4 linked regions of the Oryctolagus cuniculus genome follow. The protein of the gene in region 1 purifies or fractionates together with the protein of each later gene. This does not show direct contact. Links are inferred from orthologs where the notes say so. Each region holds a gene or a part of one and is shown in the gene's direction. Other genes may lie near its edges. The genes, in order: AURKB, G3BP2, SEC16A and PPP6C.

Region 1 (4,814 bases):
TCCCAAGTAAAAGGTCCCCTTAGCTGAACTGCCAACTGCTGCTGTCCAAAGGGCCGTACGACTTTCCCAAAGGTGATCTATTCATTATTTTGCTCTTTTTAATAATTTTTTTTCTTGTGTTCAGAATTCGGGTCCACGTTTTTTAAGTGTTTTCAATGATCTCTGATGCTCTATCTTTGTCAACTTAGCATGGAACACAAGGCATTAAATACTACTGTTAGCTGTCTCCAGATTTCTCAGAGGGCGCTAGCCTGGAGGCGTATGTATCTCCTTGCTTCTACTACGCTGAAAGTAAACAACAGAAAAACAAAGAAATGCAGCCCGGCCGCCCAGCGCCCAGCGAGCCTGGCCCTCCTTTTCTTGCCATCTCTTTCCTTGACTGATAGTGCCTTTGCTGGTGAGGCAGGCTTGGGTGGCTGGCAAGGAATGTGTCCTACCTCCCCGCCGTCCACACGGCACCCGCTGTCCAGGCTGGAACCTGGGCCTTGCCCTCCGCTCCCCTCCGCTCCGTCGCCCCTGGCCCTCCTCCTGCCAGAGTGGTCCCAATGTCTAGGGCGTCCTATAGAGCGAGACGGAGGCGGACAGGAGAGGGTGTGAGGCTAGCCCCCGACACGCCCGCTGCCCTCGCTGCCCATCCAAACTCGAGCCCCTGACTTGCGTTAGTTATTCTATAAGAAGACGCAAAGAGGCAATCCGTCTTCTCGCCTACATGTCTCTCTCTCTCACACACACACACCCATAACAAAATAGGAAGAAGTGCACATGAGAATCACACTCATTATTTCCGCAGCTGGTCACAAGGTCGTAGCTGGTATCTATAACCACCTTCCCGCTACCCCTTCCATATTACCCTCTAATTTCAGCAAACACCTCCTTCGCTGGTCGCCCCGAGCCTTTGCCCCTGGAGGGTCTCAGCCACCGCCATTTTGCATTCGTGAGTGTCGGTTAACACCTTAACTCAGGCCTGAAGTCCCACAGCATCCTGGTGGGAGCCGCGGCCCCATGCAGGAACCCGGCTTGCTGCTCCTCCTGGACTACCCTACCTACTGCCAAGCCTGCCCCGCACGGGGACAGCGGGCCTCTGGCTGCCGCCAGTGTAGACGCGAGGCACCGAACGCCTGCCTTGCTCACCAGGCTCACCACTTCCACCCGTCACTCAGCCCGTGGCAGGCAGGAGAGGACACTCGGCCCAGGCCACAGTCGCCGTTTCTTCCTGGCTAGCGCCTGCAGCTACTCGATGCACCTTTGTTCGGGTTTGAAGACCCGGTCCCCCCGCACGGGGACCCAAGGCCCGCGTTTAAATCCCGCTGGGAACCGGGGCAGCTCGCTTCACCCACGGTGCCGGCATCGGCGGCCCGGAAGGAAACGAACTTCGATCCTGGCTCACACAGTCTCCGTTTATATTAAAAATTCACACTTTTAAAAACGAAGAGAAAGCAAAAACTCCTCTCCCCGGGTCACCGGGGGAACTTTTCCCAAACCGGAACGGAGTCGGCGGCGGCTCGCCTTCCGCGGTTCCCATTGGGTCCCCTTGGCTACGTCATAGGTGAGAGATCCAATGAGAATTGGGCGAGGGTGGCGCCGGCAGCCAATGGGGCCAGAGCGGGAGATTTGAAAGCGCCTCGGCGGAGGCGCTGCCCGGCAGGTTCGGTAGTTCCCGGCGGCCTCAGGTGAGCCGGCCTCCGTTCGCGGGCCTCGGCCCGGTGCGGCCAGGGGCTCAGGCGGATCGCGGGGCTCCTGAGCGCTCAGGGGTGGAGAGAGAGGGTCCTGGAAGGGGGCTGGGCGGGTCCCGGCGCCGGGGCTGCGGGACGAGCGTCCGGGGTGTGGCCAGCCCTCTCGCCAGCCCGGACGGCGCTTCTGGCTGGATCCATCCGATCCCACCGCTGGTTTTTTTTTTTTTTTTTTTTTTTTTAATTCCCCTTTCTGCTTCTCAGGACTCTTTCCCTTCTCCGCCCAGGCGCCCTCCCCGCTACCCCGTGAGGATGGCCCAGAAGGAGAACGCCTACCCCTGGCCCTACAGCCGACCCACGGTAAGGCCACCCCGCCCCGCGGGACGCGCTGGACCACCCCCTCGGCACCGCCTGCCCCCTTATGCCCTAAGCGTGTTTTGTTCCACTTGGCCATGCGTCGATCACTGTTGGGAAGCAGGTTTTCAGGGCCCCCGGAGCCGCCTCCTTCCGGCTGAACTTGTGCCGTCTATTGGTGAGGCTTTGGTTCTGGTCTGGTGGTGGAGGGTCCATGTCTCCCCTGTGCGCCGGCTGCCTCCCTCGCGGAGCACTGAGCGAGGCCATTAAGAGCGGGTCTGAATGAGCCGCCATTGTCACTGCCAAAAGGAAGAAGTCTGTCCTGAAGTGGCATTGGCTGCCTCCCTGGCCTCATCTAAGCTCTAATCGGCTGAGCTTGCCAGTGTGCTGACGCTGTGGGGTTGGTTGACCAGGCCCTCACCTGGCCCCTGGTGTGAGGGTTGGGGGAGCCGGTGCGGTGTCATGGACAGGACTACACAGACTAGACAGTCATGCCTGAGACGGTGGCACAGGCCAGGGCCAAGGAGGTGAAATGTTAGGTGTTGGGGAGGAGTCCCCTGTTTTTGGCCCACTTGGGTTATTATTATTATTTTTTAAGGATTTATTTATTTATTTGAAAGATACAGAGAGAGAGAGTTCTTCCATCCGCTGGTTCACTCCTCAAATGCTCGTGACAGGCAGAGCTGGGCCAGGCCGGAGCCAGGAGCTTCCTCTGGGTCTCCCACACCGGTGCAGGGGCCCAAGCACTTGGGCCATCCTCCACTGCTTTCCCAGATGTATGAGTAGGGAGCTGGATGGGAAGTGGAGGGCCCATATGGGATGCTGGCACTGCAGGTGGCTTTACCCGCTGCACCAGTGCCGCCCCCTGCCCCACCTCTAGGCAGAGTGGACAGTAAGAGAGAGAGAGAGAGACAGAGAGAAAGGTCTTCCTTTTGCCTTTGGTTCACCCTCCAATGGCCGCCACGGCCGGCACGCTGTGGCCGGTGCACCGCGCTGATCCGAAGCCAGGAGCCAGGTGCTTCTCCTGGTCTCCCGTGGGGTGCAGGGCCCAAGCACTTGGGCCATCCTCCACTGCACTCCCTGGCCACAGCAGAGAGCTGGCCTGGAAGAGGCGCAACCGGGACAGAATCCGGCGCCCTGACCGGGACTAGAACCTGGTGTGCCGGCGCCGCAGGCAGAGGATTAATAACCCATTTTAACATGAGACTCTGAACAGAGTCTTGGGGCTGGAGGCCAAAACTGTCGTATCAGGGTTTTTCTCAGCACTGGGGGTGGACAGCACGTGGGAAGCTGTTTAGGCAGGAGCAGAAAAGCTGCTCGCGGCACATTCCAGCCGGGTCCCTGGGACAAAGGCGCCCTGGCGCTCCGCCTTCTCCTCCTTAGCCTCAGTCTGGCCTGAACACTCTGCCTCAGAGAATCCTGCGGAAGGAGGCTGCCACCCCCTCTGCCCTTGTCCTCATGAACCGCTCCAACGCCCCGCCCACAGGCAAGTGGCCCAGGAGGGAAAGCAGGGACTGGGGAGCTGGAGTCTACGGGACGGGTAGGGAGGATGTCCCAGCAGGGTCTCACCTCTCCCGCTCTCTCCTTAGCTGTCCTTGGGCAGAAGGGGATGGAGAACAGCAGTGGGGCACCCAACTTCACGTGAGTGCTCCCAGCCTGGAGGTGGCCAGCGGGAAGGGACGGCCTGGGACCGGCAGAAGTGGGGGAGCCGCGGTGGAGGTGGGGGGGCTGAGGGAGTGGGGAGAAAGCAGACTCCTGGGCTGCCCGGCAGGCCGGCGCTGAGCTGTGTCCCCCACTTGCTGAGCAGGCGGCCCTTCACCATCGACGACTTCGAGATCGGCCGTCCTCTGGGCAAAGGCAAATTTGGAAACGTGTACTTGGCCCGGGAGAAGAAGAGCCATTTCATCGTGGCACTCAAGGTCCTCTTCAAGTCTCAGATCGAGAAAGAGGGTGTGGAGCACCAGCTGCGCAGGGAGATCGAGATCCAGGCGCACCTGCAGTACGCCCCCGCCCCGGGAGTCCAGACTGTGGCCCCTGAGAGCTGGGTCCAGTTCCCCAGCCTGGGCCCTATCATCTTCCCTTTATGCCCGGATGTGGCCTGAGGCCTCCTGTCTCCTGCTGCAGGCATCCCAACATTCTGCGTCTCTACAACTATTTCTACGACCGGAGGAGAATCTACCTGATCCTGGAGTACGCCCCGCGCGGCGAGCTGTACAAGGAGCTGCAGAAAAGCCGCACTTTTGACGAGCAGCGAACAGCCACGGTCGGGGCGGGTGGGCACCTGGGACCCCGGCTGGGGGCTTGAGGCTGGGGGCACGCTGCCTGTGGCCGCGGGGCTGTCCTTGTCTGACTGCCTGTCCCCGCCCTCCCAGATCATGGAGGAGCTGGCAGATGCCCTGCGCTACTGCCACGAGAAGAAAGTGATTCACAGGGACATCAAGCCGGAGAACCTGCTCCTGGGGCTGCAGGGGGAGCTGAAGATCGCGGATTTCGGCTGGTCTGTGCACGCGCCCTCCCTGCGGTACGTGGCGCTGGGAAGCCGGCCCTGGCAGGCGGCACCTCTGGGCAATCCCGGTAGGAAAGTAGGAGACGCATAGTTCTGACCCCAGGTGCTTCCCACCCTTCTTTTTTTTTTTTTTTTTTTTTTTTTTACGGGCAGGGTGGACAGTGAGAGACAGAGAGAAAGGTCTTCCTTTGCCGTTGGTTCACCCTCCAATGGCCGCCGCGGCCGGCACGCTGCAGCCGGTGCACCGCGCTGATCCGAAGCCAGGAGCCCAGTACTTCTGGTCT
Region 2 (4,830 bases), on another chromosome or scaffold:
GGTCTCAAACACAAGTGCCAACAGGAGAGATGCAAGCAGGGCTGAGGGGGTAGGCTGTGGCTACAGTAATCCAGGGAGAACAACTCCGTGTTACAACAGGGCTCACTGCCTTGCCTTGCTGCCGTGTGGGACTGGACAAGGGAGGTCAAATAGACTCTTTCTGTGTGTTTGTGTGACAGAGACAGATCTGATTTTCAAATGAAGGAAACAGATTCACGGACTTCCAACTTCTGCTTTAAACACTTCTAACCCAGATGAGCAGTTAATTTTAACAATATTACCCCGATTTCCCCAAAATGCCCAGGTAAGTAGTGAAGTAGGGGGCATCAGCAATAAAGTCTAAGCTTTGAAGTTCAGGCACACCTTGACGGAACACCGGGTCTAAGACCTCCATCACATGACTTCACCTCTTTCAGCCTCATTTCTTCATTTGTAATGGATGGCTACCATCACATATCTTGCAGGGTAATTAAGGATTAAAGAAGAATGTGGAAGATAAACAGCTCAGCAAAAGACCTAGCACCAGGTAAGAGCTGGACGAATGGAAGCCACCCTTACTCCCCTCCAGAATCCGGGTAACACAGCTGTCTATCCAAACTTTAAAATGTCATACCCCACCCACTTTTCTGTAGATCTCAGCTTATTCTCAAACACAAAGTTTATTTTTATTTTTAAAAAGAGGCCACACACACGCATTTCCAGTAGAACCACACTTCAACTAAGATTATCCCATAACCTAACACGGAGGCAACTATCAAACAGTTTTCTGCAGCGCACGTTTAAAATGTCCTTGCAAATCCTGTTCACACGGAAAGCGAGAGGTGTGTTTCCAAAGTGGACACAGCACTGGACACATGACACATACCTGGGTGAGCCCGGAAAGCCGGGGTCTGAACTAAGGCCGGTCCTCCCAGCTGACGGGACGGGAGCAGGTGGCTTTGTGCCCCAAAGAACATGGTTTTATTCTTAGCCACACGCTGTCGCCAACAGCTGGGCTTTAAACCATGCAGTCTTCCCCAGCGCCCCGCTTCCAGACAGAAGGCAGCGAGCAGGCTTCAGGCTCCTCTCGGCCGGCGGAGGCTCGGACGAAGGGGGCGGAGGGAAGCGCCCGCGGAGCTGCGGGTCGGGCCGCCTCTGGCCCGGATCCGTGCCTGCCCGGGCGGGACCACCCAGCCGCGGGGCCTGCGGGGCGAGCGGGCGCGGCCGCTGTCAGCCCGGCCGAGCCGCCGCGCGGGGGGCTGCGCGGGAGCCGTGAGGAAGTAGCTCGGGGGGGGGGGGGGTCTCAGGAGAGGCAGGCGGCACGTGGGTCCCCCACGCGCGGGAGGCGACCTCCAGGCCCTCTGGCCCTCTCCGTTCCCCGTCCTGGCCCGGACCCTTCCCAAGTCCCGGACCCCACGGCTCCACTCACCGTCTCGGCTTCTGTGTGCTGGGGTCCGGCACTCTGACCCCCCATCACCCCGCGGAGGAAATTCATCTTGCCGCCCAGCCACCGGCTTTACAGCCTCTTCGGGAAAGAAAAGAAGACAACTTCTCCTGCCCTCCGCAGGGGCCCCGAGCCCGCACTCGGCACTCCCCGGCCGCCGCCACCACCGCCTCCTACTCCGCGGCCGCTCCTGCCCCCTAAGCCCGGAAACAGCCGCCACCACCGGCCGAGATGCGCATGCGCGGATACGTGGCATTACGTGGCGACTCGAAGGGCGAAGGCAAAAGGGGAGAGGAGACGAGAGGAGCCACCTAGGGAGGGGTCCGCCCAGGCCCCGCCCACCGCGAGGCCCCGCCCCCGCCGCAGGCCCCGCCCTCCGCGGATTGCTCCTGCTGGCCGCAGCCACCCACGTGGTCGAAGCCCGGCCCTGCCGGCTGGAGAGGGTCGGATTAGACTAAGCGTTTTGGCTCGCCGGGTGTTTAATTGCCGCCGAGCGGAACTCGGCTGCGAGCTATCAAGCCGGGGGCTTGTTTTGTTGAGTCGAAAGTGACATTCTCCTCCGGCCAACGTGACAGGTAAGGGGGTCCCGGGCCCTGCGAGTTCCCTTTTGGGTTTTCGGGTTAGCAGCGCCAGCGTGGTGGTGGCCCTCTGATCCCTGTCAATCGCATTTCTTCACAGGGCTTTGTTTGGTGGTGGGAAGGGTGCTGGACCCCCATCCTCCCAGCGCCACTGGAGGGCGCCTTTCCCAGCGCTTGTTCCTCAAACCCGCGGAGAGGAATTCCTAGATCTGACACCAGGTACGCCGCTGTTCCCAAGTGCTGTGAGGAGGCGAGCCCGCCGAACCCCACGTCTGGCGTGCTCGAGTAAGAAAAGAGAAATTACAAGTCCATTGTTCTGCGGCGTCAGTTTGGCAGCGCGGAGCTTGCCTTTGCAGGGCTCTTACAAAAATGCAAAATGTCATTTGTTTCTCAAGTCGGTATGCCAGGTACTTATGCTTCTGCAGTACTCCTGTGAATTTCCTGAGACTGGAAAGCGCAGGGTCTCCCTAGCTAACTGGCTCAAGCTGCCCGCAGCCCCTGCATTCCCCGTGGGTCCCAGGTGCAGCGTTTAAAATTGAACTCATCCTCTCTGTGAGCCTCCCGTCGAGAAAAAGAAAATCAATATACTGCTTCTGCTCTGTGCCCCGCGGTGCTCTCTGGTCCCACTATCCAAATAATTGCCCAAGGCAGAGGGAGGAAGCCGGCAAGAGTGGGACTTTGGCTTTGCAAATAGCCCCCGTGCAAAGCCCCGTGCTCCATCGATAGTCAAGCCCGATCGTTTCTATTTATAGGCTGTTTCTCAACTAGGTCCTCTGCTCTCCATCCCGCCTGCCTCTGACATAGTTTCTCACTAAGATCAAGCAGTAGCCTCCCGACGAGTTTTTCCGCATTCGGGCCTGGCCTCCCTGCAGTCCGAGCTCCGGTCCACCCTTGCATGAGCCCGACAACCACCAAACAGCTGTTGCTGTCACTCCTCTTCCCCGACGCCTCCAGCGGCTCCCGGTTCTCTATAATAAAATGCAAACCGCACGGGCCTCTTGGGATCAGGCTCCACGGGGCAGTTTGCCCTGCCTCTCCCTCCCTCTTCACCTGGCCAACTCCTGCTAGTTCCTTAAGGCTCCCCTCGGACATCATCTCCTGGAAAGCTCCCTGAAATCTGGGTGTGTGTCTGTAGGCTAGCACTTTGTAGTTACTCATTTATGGTGGGCACCTGGCAAGTGCTTACAGCCTAATGAACCGTTAGGGGCACGACTCGTATTTTTGTGTCTCTGTGGTGTACTGTTGTCTCATAGAAGGCGGTGTTGATGGATAAGTGAATAAATCATTGAATTGAATGAACATGACGACTGCGCTGAGTAGGAGGTCCGATTTCATCTCTAAAGTAGATTTGTACAGAGCTTGTTATCACAAAGGCTGTGGTGAAAGTTTGTTTGCTAGTGCCAAGATTTTAAGCCTGGGAGACTTGGGGAACGGGTGGGATCGTCTTGCCAAAAATACTGTGTTCTAAGCATTGTCCTCTGCTTTAAAACTAGACACTTGACATTTTGCTTCAGACATTTTCCATGGGGGCATTTTGTTGCAGCCTAAAATAAGTAACCAATCGGTGCTCCGCATTTTTGTCACCAAGTACTGTGCACAGAGAACTTAAAAGAACTTCACTGGCCAGGTCTCACCGCAGCCTCACCGCTCCCTGAACCTCACGGCCCCATGGTCAGGGAGAAGGCTGTGGCCTGGAGTAGGGCTACCGTTCCTGCGGCTCAGTAATAAAACACAGCATCTTCACTTTGGTCTTGTTGAAATGTGCCGTTTACTTGTAAACGTTGGTGAATGTAGTGGTAACAGCTGACTGAATTTCCCCTTCATTTGACCTATTTTCTTCCGTAGCAGCATCCCCTGGGCGGGAGGGACTGTGGGCAAGAGCAGTGGACAGTGGGTGCAGAGGTGGTGAGGCTGGAGTTGTCCAGGCTCCCTGGCCCCAAGTCTCGCCTGGGTTCTGCTGTCTCACAGCAGGTGCAAGCTGCTCCCAACCGCCAGCCTCAGAAGGAGACAGACAGGGTGTAGTGGCTGATTTGTCCCCAGTCAGGGTCTTGAAGGGGAGCAGAGGCACCATCACTGCAGAACAACCCTGAAATGGACTTCTTCCTTAAGAGAAAGGGGGTTCTCTGTGACTCCTGCTCATACAGAGGCCAGTTCAGGACTGTGCTGTACCCTTTGATCATCTAATGGAATTCCTTTAGCATGGTAATTGCTGAAGAACCATTTCTTAAATAAGTCAAAGAGGAGACAACATGAAAGAGCTGTTACTGCCTAACTTACTCTTTTGATTTTCATAAATAAATTCAGAATAAGAATGCCATGTGCCATTAAAATATATAGAACTCAAAATTTTGAGTAAATTAGAATGTTTTTAAATTTTTCTATATTTCTAAGTTTTCCTAAACTACACCTGACAACAGAATTCATTGGGAGTGAAATCTATGTTTTAAAATTACTTTGTTCAGTGGCTCACTTTTCCCATCCTACCTTCCTTTCTAGTGGAAAACTCAGCAAAAACAATTAAACATCATTGCAAAAGATTGTTTTTTAGTGGGGGTAGCGGTGGTGAGGTGGAGCAGTCTCTGTGTTTGCTTAGGAGTAATAGAAATGATAATTTGTGTTTGGAAGACATCATCATGTACAGTTTTTTTTAAGGTTTATTTATTTGAAAGGCAGGATTGCAGAGATAGAGGGGGAGACTGCAATGCTTCGCTGACTCCAGAATCCAGGTTTCAGAATAACTTTTTAAGGTGCTAGTGTTAGTTTAGGAGTATTGTGGTGGCCTTTAGTGACTAATTCAGTACTTTTTATCATAGGTGAGGCTCAAATTCT
Region 3 (4,088 bases), on another chromosome or scaffold:
GACGCCTGCCCAGGGGAAAGTCCTTGCCCAGCAGTGACCCGCGGACCTGGGACGCCGGCGCCTGGCGGCAGGCTGGGGGGGCGGGGTCAGGCCGTCTGCGGGGGGGGGGGGGGGTGTCCGTCTACAGTGTGTGTGGGGGCGGTGTCAGGCCGTCTGCGGGGGGGGGTGTCCATCTACAGTGTGTGTGGGGGCGGTGTCAGGCCGTCTGCGGGGGGGGGGTGTCCATCTACAGTGTGTGTGGGGGGCAGTGTCAGGCGTCTGCGGGGGGGGCGGTGGCAGGCCGTCTGCGGGGGGGGCAGTGTCAGGCGTCTGCGGGGGGGGTGTCCGGCTGTCCAGCCCCCCTGAGGGGTCGCTGAGCGCGCTGCTTGCTCTGGCCCAGCCATTGCTCTGTGCTCTCAGCCAGGGAGGGCGGGCCGGGGGTGAGCGGCGGGTTAGGAGGAGCGGGGCCACGGGTAGGTTCACTTGAGGCGTCCGTGGCTGCCGTCTGTGCACGCGTCTGGACGGCTGTCGGGGTGGGCGGCAGCCCCGGGCCCCGCCAGGAGCCCCCCCGGCTCTGATCTCTCTGAGCGGCTGACGGGGAAAAGGACTTTGTGGATCTGGGGGCCCAGACGCGGGTTGCGGACGTCCGGGCGGTCGGTGGAGGCCGAGCCTGCCCCACGTTAGTGGACACAGGCGCCGGCGGGGAGGCTGCGCGCTCTGTAGGTCCTGGGTGAACCCAGGTCGGACGCGGGCGGCCTGGCAGGCCCAGCCGCTCTCTGCCGCTCGAGTTTCCGGGTGCCGTGAGAACCCCAGGGTGGGGCAGCCGAGGGCCGGGCGAGAGGAGGCCTCTGACGTGGGGAGAGGGAGGGTTCTCCCGGCTGGCAGGTCTGCTCCTGGCAGCGGCACAGCTTGCACGCCTGCCGTCCGCTGTCCCCGGGGTGCCGGCAGTCACTCGAGCTCCCGCTGCTGCCTCCCAGGGCCCGAGCCCGGGGTCGCACCAGGCGCCCGGCTGTGGGCAGTGAACGGTCCTAGCGCCTCGGCCGGGTGCCCACGACCTTGTCTGTCCTGTGGGACTTGAAGTCCCCGTGTGCGAAGGGTGCTGAGCCGTTTCTCTCTGTTGGGGGAGGAGGGGGTGGTCTACAGGAACGTGTCGGCCCGGCGCACCTTGTGGGGGGGGCGTCGGGAGGGGTGTTGGAGCCGCTGGCCCTGCCGGGCGCGGGAGCACCAGAGGGTGAGCGACGCCAGCAGGGAACCTGCTCTGCCGCTGGCGGCCACCCTGCCTCCTCCCAGGGGGCCCCGGCAGCTTGGCCGGGTGCAGTGGGCAGAGGGGTGGGGCTTGGCGTGTGAACACCTCAGTCTGTGTCCGTGTGTCTTCCCAGGGGCCCCTGGGACGTGGAGTGCGTCGGGTGTCGGTGTAGACGGGGACGTGGAGTGCGTCGGGTGTCGGTGTAGACGGGGACGTGGTGATGGGACGTGGAGTGCGTCGGGTGTCGGTGTAGATGGGGATGTGGAGTGCGTCGGGTGTCGGTGTAGACGGGGGCGTGGTGATGGGACGTGGAGTGCGTCGGGTGTCGGTGTAGACGGGGACGTGGTGATGGGACGTGGAGTGCGTCGGGTGTCGGTGTAGATGGGGATGTGGAGTGCGTCAGGTGTCGGTGTAGACGGGGGCGTGGTGACTTTGTGCCTCTTTTTCTCTTGCAGTTCACGTTGAGGAAGTGCTGGTCCGCGTCGTCCTCCTCCTCCTGTGAGCGGCGCCCACCTGTGCCGGAGCTCAGCCATGCAGCCACCGCCCCAGGCAGTCCCGCCCGGCGCCGCTGGGCCTCCTCCGGCCGGCAGTCCTCACAGCGTGCTCTGGGCGCACAGCCCGTACAGGAGACGGGCGGGCGGCAGCGCCGTGGCCCCAGCCGCCTGTCCCCCGCAGCCCGTGACGGACCCCTTTGTCTTTAGCAGACAGGCGCTGCAGAGCGGCCCAGCAGGCGCGGCGTCCAGGGCCGGCCTGCCCGGTGTCCAGGGCCCGGTGCCCTCAGGGCTCGCCCAGTACCCCGGCGTGCCCGTGCCGCACACAGATGCCGGGGACAGCTCCCAAGCACCCTGGGAGCCCCCGCCGGGGCCTCTGGCGCAGCCCAGAGCAGACGCCAGTCTGTTTCCTAGTGTGCCGGCCTCGGTGTTGCCTGGGTCGGAGGTGAACAGGAATGCAGAGCTTGGTCCCGGCTCGGAGCCTGGCGTCCAGACTCTGCCGTATCCGCCTCACTGCATTCCAGGAGTGGGTCCTGACGAGTCTCACGGGGCCCCTGCGCGTGGGACCATGCCATGGCTTGACCGGCCCCCCAGCGGGCACGACCTGCACGCCAGTGTGGGGACAGCCACGGCCGCCGCCTCCTTCCCCCAGCCTTGTCAGCAGGGGCCAGAGCAGTGGGGGCAGGCGCAGGGGGGCCCGCGGCCCGCCGGCCAGCCTCACTCGCCCTGCTCGGAAGGGTCGCTTCAGAATGCTGGCGTCCTCCCGCTCCCCCCGCCGCCCGGCCAGCCTCGAGGTCCCGGCCCCGAGCAGCACGGCCCAGCGCCCGCGGCCGGCGACGGGAGCAACGAGCCGGCCTGCCCGCAGGGCCGAAACCACTCAGCACACGGCGTCCGTCCTGAAGGCGCGTTCGGGCAGAATTGCAGAGTTGCAAATACCTGGGCAAAGCAGGAGCTCCGGCAGAATCCGGGAGTGACCGGCGCGGCCCTCGTGAGCACCCCTGCTCAGAACAGCCCGCAGGACCGCCTGCACTGCGCCCCGGCCGCGGGGGCCGGCTGGGTGCTGCCCGACGCAGACTCGGGCGCGCTCTCGATGTTTTTCCAGAGTGGGGAGACTGAAAATGAGGAGAACCTCTCATCTGAACAAGCAGGCTGTGCCGGCACCTCGGCCTTTGACGGGCTGTCCCCCAGCCCTGGACTGGGCCACCCAGCCACCGCTGCCCACGTGGGAGCAGGGGCCACGCGCCAGGCCTTTCTCAAAGGTCCCCACGGCGAGAGCGTGCAGCAGCGGGGAGACACGCAGCCTCACTTCCCTCAGCCTGAAGGCTTCCAGCCCGACACCGCAGCCCCTGACCACGCTGCCCGTGGTGCGCTGGGCGATGCGGCGAACGCCGAGAGGCCCGGGGCCAGTGGCTCCCGGTACGACGACGACGAGAACCTGGAGTTCGCTCAGAATCAGGAAGTTCTGCCGAGTGAGCCCCCGAGCGTGGCCGACGCCTGCCTGGGGGATCCGTTCCGATTCGGGCCCCTTCCCGGGTGCGCTGTCCCCAGGCCCGGCACTGCGGGCCTCGCTGGAGGAGGGGGCGTGAATCTGGAGGCCCCGGACGCGGCGTCGCCCCCCGTGCGGCCAGACGGCCTGTCCTGTGGGCACAGCGGTGCGAGCCACGGGAGGCGCTCGGGATCGGCCCGGCCCCAGGAGCTGGCGGGCACATTCATCCAGCAGGAAGTCGGGAAGCCCGAGGAGGAGGCGTCCGGCAGCTTCTTCCAGCAGATCGATTCTTCTCCCGTGGGCGGAGAGACAGCAGATGGCGCTGTGCGGCAGAGTCACCGCGGCGGCCTGGCCCAGCCGCCCCCGACCCCCAGCCCGCCCAAGCCCGTGGGGGTGTTCCAGACAAGTGCAAACAGCTCTTTCGAACCGGTAAAATCCCACTTGGTGGGGGTGAGACCAATGGAGGCAGATCGAGCCAACGTGGTGGGTGAAGTGAGGGAGACCCCTGCCCATCAGAAGTGCAAGCCGGCCGCCACGCCGCCCGATGCCTCGCCTGGCAACCTGGAGCAGCCCCCCGACAACATGGAGACCCTCTTTGCCCCTCAGGTCGGTCTGCCACCTCGGAGCGCCAGCGTGGAAGCCGGCCACGTGCTCCCGCCCCCGGGGGCGCCGTCCTCGCATGCCCCCGAGAAGAGGCCCTCGGCCAGGGCTCAGGGCGTCGCGAAGTGTGAGAGCCCGGCCACGACGCTGTGGGCGCAGAACGAGCTGCCGGACTTCGGAGGCAATGTCCTCCTGGCGCCCGCCGCGCCCGCACTCTACGTGCCTGCCGCGGCTCGGCCGGCCGAGGTGCTGCAGCCTCCCGAGGAGGGGCCGCCGCCGCCGCGGA
Region 4 (3,352 bases), on another chromosome or scaffold:
ACATGCACTTGAACCACCATCTGCTGCCCCCAGGACGTTTCAGCAGGAAGCTGGATTGGAAGCAGAGTAGCTAGGACTCAAACCCTCACTCTGGCCTGGGCACACACATGGCCCAAGTGGCAACTGAACTGGCTGCCCACAACACCTTCCTCCTAAGGAGCATCTTTTTTATTTATTTTATTTTATTTTATTTTATTTATTTTTTTTTTTTTTTGACAGGCAGAGTGGACAGTGAGAGAGAGAGACAGAGAGAAAGGTCTTCCTTTGCCGTTGGTTCACCCTCCAATGGCCGCCGCGGTCGGCGCGCTGCGGCTGGCGCACCGCGCTGATCCGATGACAGGAGCCAGGAGCCAGGTGCTTATCCTGGTCTCCCATGGGGTGCAGGGCCCAAGCACCTGGGCCATCCTCCACTGCACTCCCTGGCCACAGCAGAGGGCTGGCCTGGAAGAGGGGCGACCGGGACAGAATCCGGCGCCCCGACCGGGACTAGAACCCGGTGTGCCGGCGCCGCTAGGTGGAGGATTAGCCTAGTGAGCCGCGGCGCCGGCCCCTAAGGAGCATCTTAACTGCTACACCAAAACCTTCTTAGATTTTTTTTTTTTTATTAAGAAACTGCATAGCAAAGGTTGATAGTGTTTATTAAAAGAACAGATATGTATCCTGTCAACAACATAGCAGAGAGGATTCAGCTGGGAATATATCAAAATCTGATGAACAGTCTGTCTTCAGCAAGGCCAACAAGTGTACCTAGTGAGTTAAGTGTTTACTTGTACAGTTTACAGAAAATCTCGGAGCAGACAACTTGGGCCTGAGAAATGTTGAGCTAGGAATTACTCATGCTTCTATAATTATGGATCTTCTAATTTATTTGATTTGATTATCCTGCTGTAATAAGGTAGTCACATTAAATAAATTAATCTGTTTGATGAAATTGCCTAATATTAACATAACTGCCAAAAGTGTTTGCTTTAGGTTGCGTGAAATTAGTTTTTAGCTCTTCCTGATGATAGCATTTTGGCCAATAATTTCAGCTGCTTCTTAGGGCCATTTCTGGAATGAAAAGCAAGACCATATCCTTAAGACATACACACACACACACACACACACACTCAGAGATAGGTGCTGTATGTAGAGCCAAGTATGTGTCATAATTTGCCATCCCAGTTTAAGCTGAATTTCTTTTGTACTTAAGACTGCTCTAGTACTGGATACATTGTTTATTTTTATCAGCAAACTCAGAGCTTCATTAATGAGAATTTTTCTTTTTCTTTCACAGATGAGTGCCAAACCAAATATGGAAATGCTAATGCCTGGAGATACTGTACCAAAGTTTTCGACATGCTCACAGTAGCAGCTGTAGGTTTTTATGAATCTTTTTAAAAACCTCAACTGTTTTCCTGTCAGTGACTTACTACATATTTTTATCTGATGGTCATGTCAGTTATATTGATATCTTTAGCATTCATTGATGAATTTAGATATGGCTGAGTTTATTATACATTCACCTCTTTATTGTTTTTTTCTTTTTGCTAGTTAATAGATGAGCAGATTTTGTGTGTTCATGGTGGTTTATCTCCTGATATCAAAACACTGGATCAGATTCGAACTATCGAGCGGAATCAGGAAATCCCTCATAAAGGAGCGTTCTGTGACCTGGTCTGGTCGGACCCTGAGGATGTGGACACCTGGGCGATCAGCCCCCGAGGAGCAGGCTGGCTTTTTGGAGCAAAGGTCACAAATGAGGTAAAGTCAACATTTTTGGAAAAATAGTTTGTTGGTTGCTAATGGACTGTGTACAGAATTATGTTGGCCTTAGAAAGCAAATTTGTAGTCTAGTTTCCTCCAACTGTGGGCGCTATGGATATCCCATTTCTAGTCTGGTTTATTCACACATACCTTTCCATAGTGGTTAATTGTGAAAGCTCCTACTCCAGGGTCCACCTGTGCTGTGTATACAGTAAGTGCTCCTTTCCTTTCAAATGTGGCAGTTAAATACACGACAGCATGGGCAAGACAGGCAACTTTTTGAAGGTCAACTGTTTTCAGTTAAACGCACACATGTGCACACATGGGATGATGGCATTTTGGGAAGGCTTCCGCATAATGGAGGCGTGGGTTGAGTCCATCAGTGGAACTTGGGTATGCTGTTTATCCAGGCTCAGCCTTTGTTTCCTCAAGTTGCAAAAGAAGGATAATTATTTCAAGAACTATATATACTGCATTCTCAGTAACTGATATTATATTGATACAAATATTTCTTATTAACTGTAAAAGTGAAACTGTTCCTATACGGTAGTACTCATCTAACTCTTCCAGAAACATCAAATTATGTGGCTGTATGATGTCTGTAGCTCTGTAATTGCTTCAGGCCAAAGTGACTGTGCCTGATGTATTGAAATTTTACAGGGATAATTATAGAACAGGTTGTAAAATTATGGGAACTTCAGCAGAATTCGATATTTTAAATGATTGTACCTTATATCTTATAGGCCACATTCAAAAGATTTTCTGAATGCTTACAAAGTTTTTCTGAATTGCAGTTTGTTCATATCAACAACCTAAAACTCATCTGCAGAGCACATCAACTAGTGCATGAAGGCTATAAATTTATGTTTGATGAAAAGCTGGTAACAGTATGGTCTGCTCCTAATTACTGCTATCGTTGTGGAAATATTGCTTCAATCATGGTCTTCAAAGATGTAAATACAAGAGAACCAAAGTTATTCCGGGCAGTTCCAGATTCAGAACGTGTTATCCCTCCCAGAACGACGACGCCGTATTTCCTTTGAGGCCTTCGCCCATCCTGCTGACCCACTTCTCTACCCTCTTCTTCCCCCGACTCTCTCGTATTACCCTCTGCAGTATACTTTTTATTGAGCACTTTGCTGCTGAAATGCTGCCTCTTGCCTTTTTTTGATTTTAAATTATCTGAGTTTATTGTTTGTTATGGTGTCTATAGCAATGTTTTTCTATCAATTTCTCCTCCATCCCATCCCCACCTTGGACTCATTTGAGAAGACTTGAGAAATGTCTTAATACACATACTGCTGCATGTAGCTCTTGCATATTTACTGGTCTGGGGAAACAGGATGTGTTTCCATTTTTAAAAAAGCCAATTGACAATTACACCGAAAACACCTTTTGTATCATTGAGCCTTTTGTTTTAATTTGGTAAATTTTAAGAAATTTCAGCAGCAAAGTTGTTATTCAGTGGGCACGATGGACTACAGATGCCTCGAGTTATGTACACCTGTCCCAGCTGTAAACTTCCGTTGTCCTTTGTTGGATGATATTTTAAATGGATATAAAATAAATTGGTCTAAAGGGCTGCCCTCCTTGTTGTGTTTTTAAA

What was found.
Region 2: the proteins of AURKB (region 1) and G3BP2 purify together in Homo sapiens (affinity purification with mass spectrometry; 3 studies listed by BioGRID and IntAct, with this or other methods). This does not show direct contact. The link is inferred for Oryctolagus cuniculus from reciprocal best matches to the Homo sapiens genes AURKB and G3BP2.
Region 3: the proteins of AURKB (region 1) and SEC16A purify together in Homo sapiens (affinity purification with mass spectrometry; 3 studies listed by BioGRID and IntAct, with this or other methods). This does not show direct contact. The link is inferred for Oryctolagus cuniculus from reciprocal best matches to the Homo sapiens genes AURKB and SEC16A.
Region 4: the proteins of AURKB (region 1) and PPP6C purify together in Homo sapiens (affinity purification with mass spectrometry, with the first as the bait; 3 studies listed by BioGRID). This does not show direct contact. The link is inferred for Oryctolagus cuniculus from reciprocal best matches to the Homo sapiens genes AURKB and PPP6C.

What each region holds. Positions count from the first base shown.
Region 1 is NC_091448.1:52,688,254-52,693,067, reverse strand, and holds the start of AURKB (aurora kinase B), read left to right. Parts: upstream 1-1,585; 5' UTR 1,586-1,670; intron 1,671-1,934; exon of another isoform or gene 1,935-1,957; 5' UTR 1,958-1,982; coding exon 1,983-2,030; intron 2,031-3,407; coding exon 3,408-3,510; intron 3,511-3,613; coding exon 3,614-3,665; intron 3,666-3,831; coding exon 3,832-4,023; intron 4,024-4,148; coding exon 4,149-4,287; intron 4,288-4,396; coding exon 4,397-4,545; intron 4,546-4,814. UniProt on the Homo sapiens protein: Serine/threonine-protein kinase component of the chromosomal passenger complex (CPC), a complex that acts as a key regulator of mitosis.
Region 2 is NC_091439.1:90,185,974-90,190,803, forward strand, and holds the start of G3BP2 (ras GTPase-activating protein-binding protein 2), read left to right. Parts: upstream 1-1,785; 5' UTR 1,786-1,998; intron 1,999-2,101; 5' UTR 2,102-2,220; exon of another isoform or gene 2,221-2,286; intron 2,287-4,830. Other genes in the region: USO1 (general vesicular transport factor p115), read right to left, coding at 1,409-1,474.
Region 3 is NC_091432.1:236,598,001-236,602,088, forward strand, and holds part of SEC16A (protein transport protein Sec16A), read left to right. Parts: intron 1-1,680; 5' UTR 1,681-1,756; coding exon 1,757-4,088. UniProt on the Homo sapiens protein: Acts as a molecular scaffold that plays a key role in the organization of the endoplasmic reticulum exit sites (ERES), also known as transitional endoplasmic reticulum (tER).
Region 4 is NC_091432.1:228,970,286-228,973,637, reverse strand, and holds part of PPP6C (serine/threonine-protein phosphatase 6 catalytic subunit), read left to right. Parts: intron 1-1,276; coding exon 1,277-1,356; intron 1,357-1,533; coding exon 1,534-1,743; intron 1,744-2,540; coding exon 2,541-2,789; 3' UTR 2,790-3,352.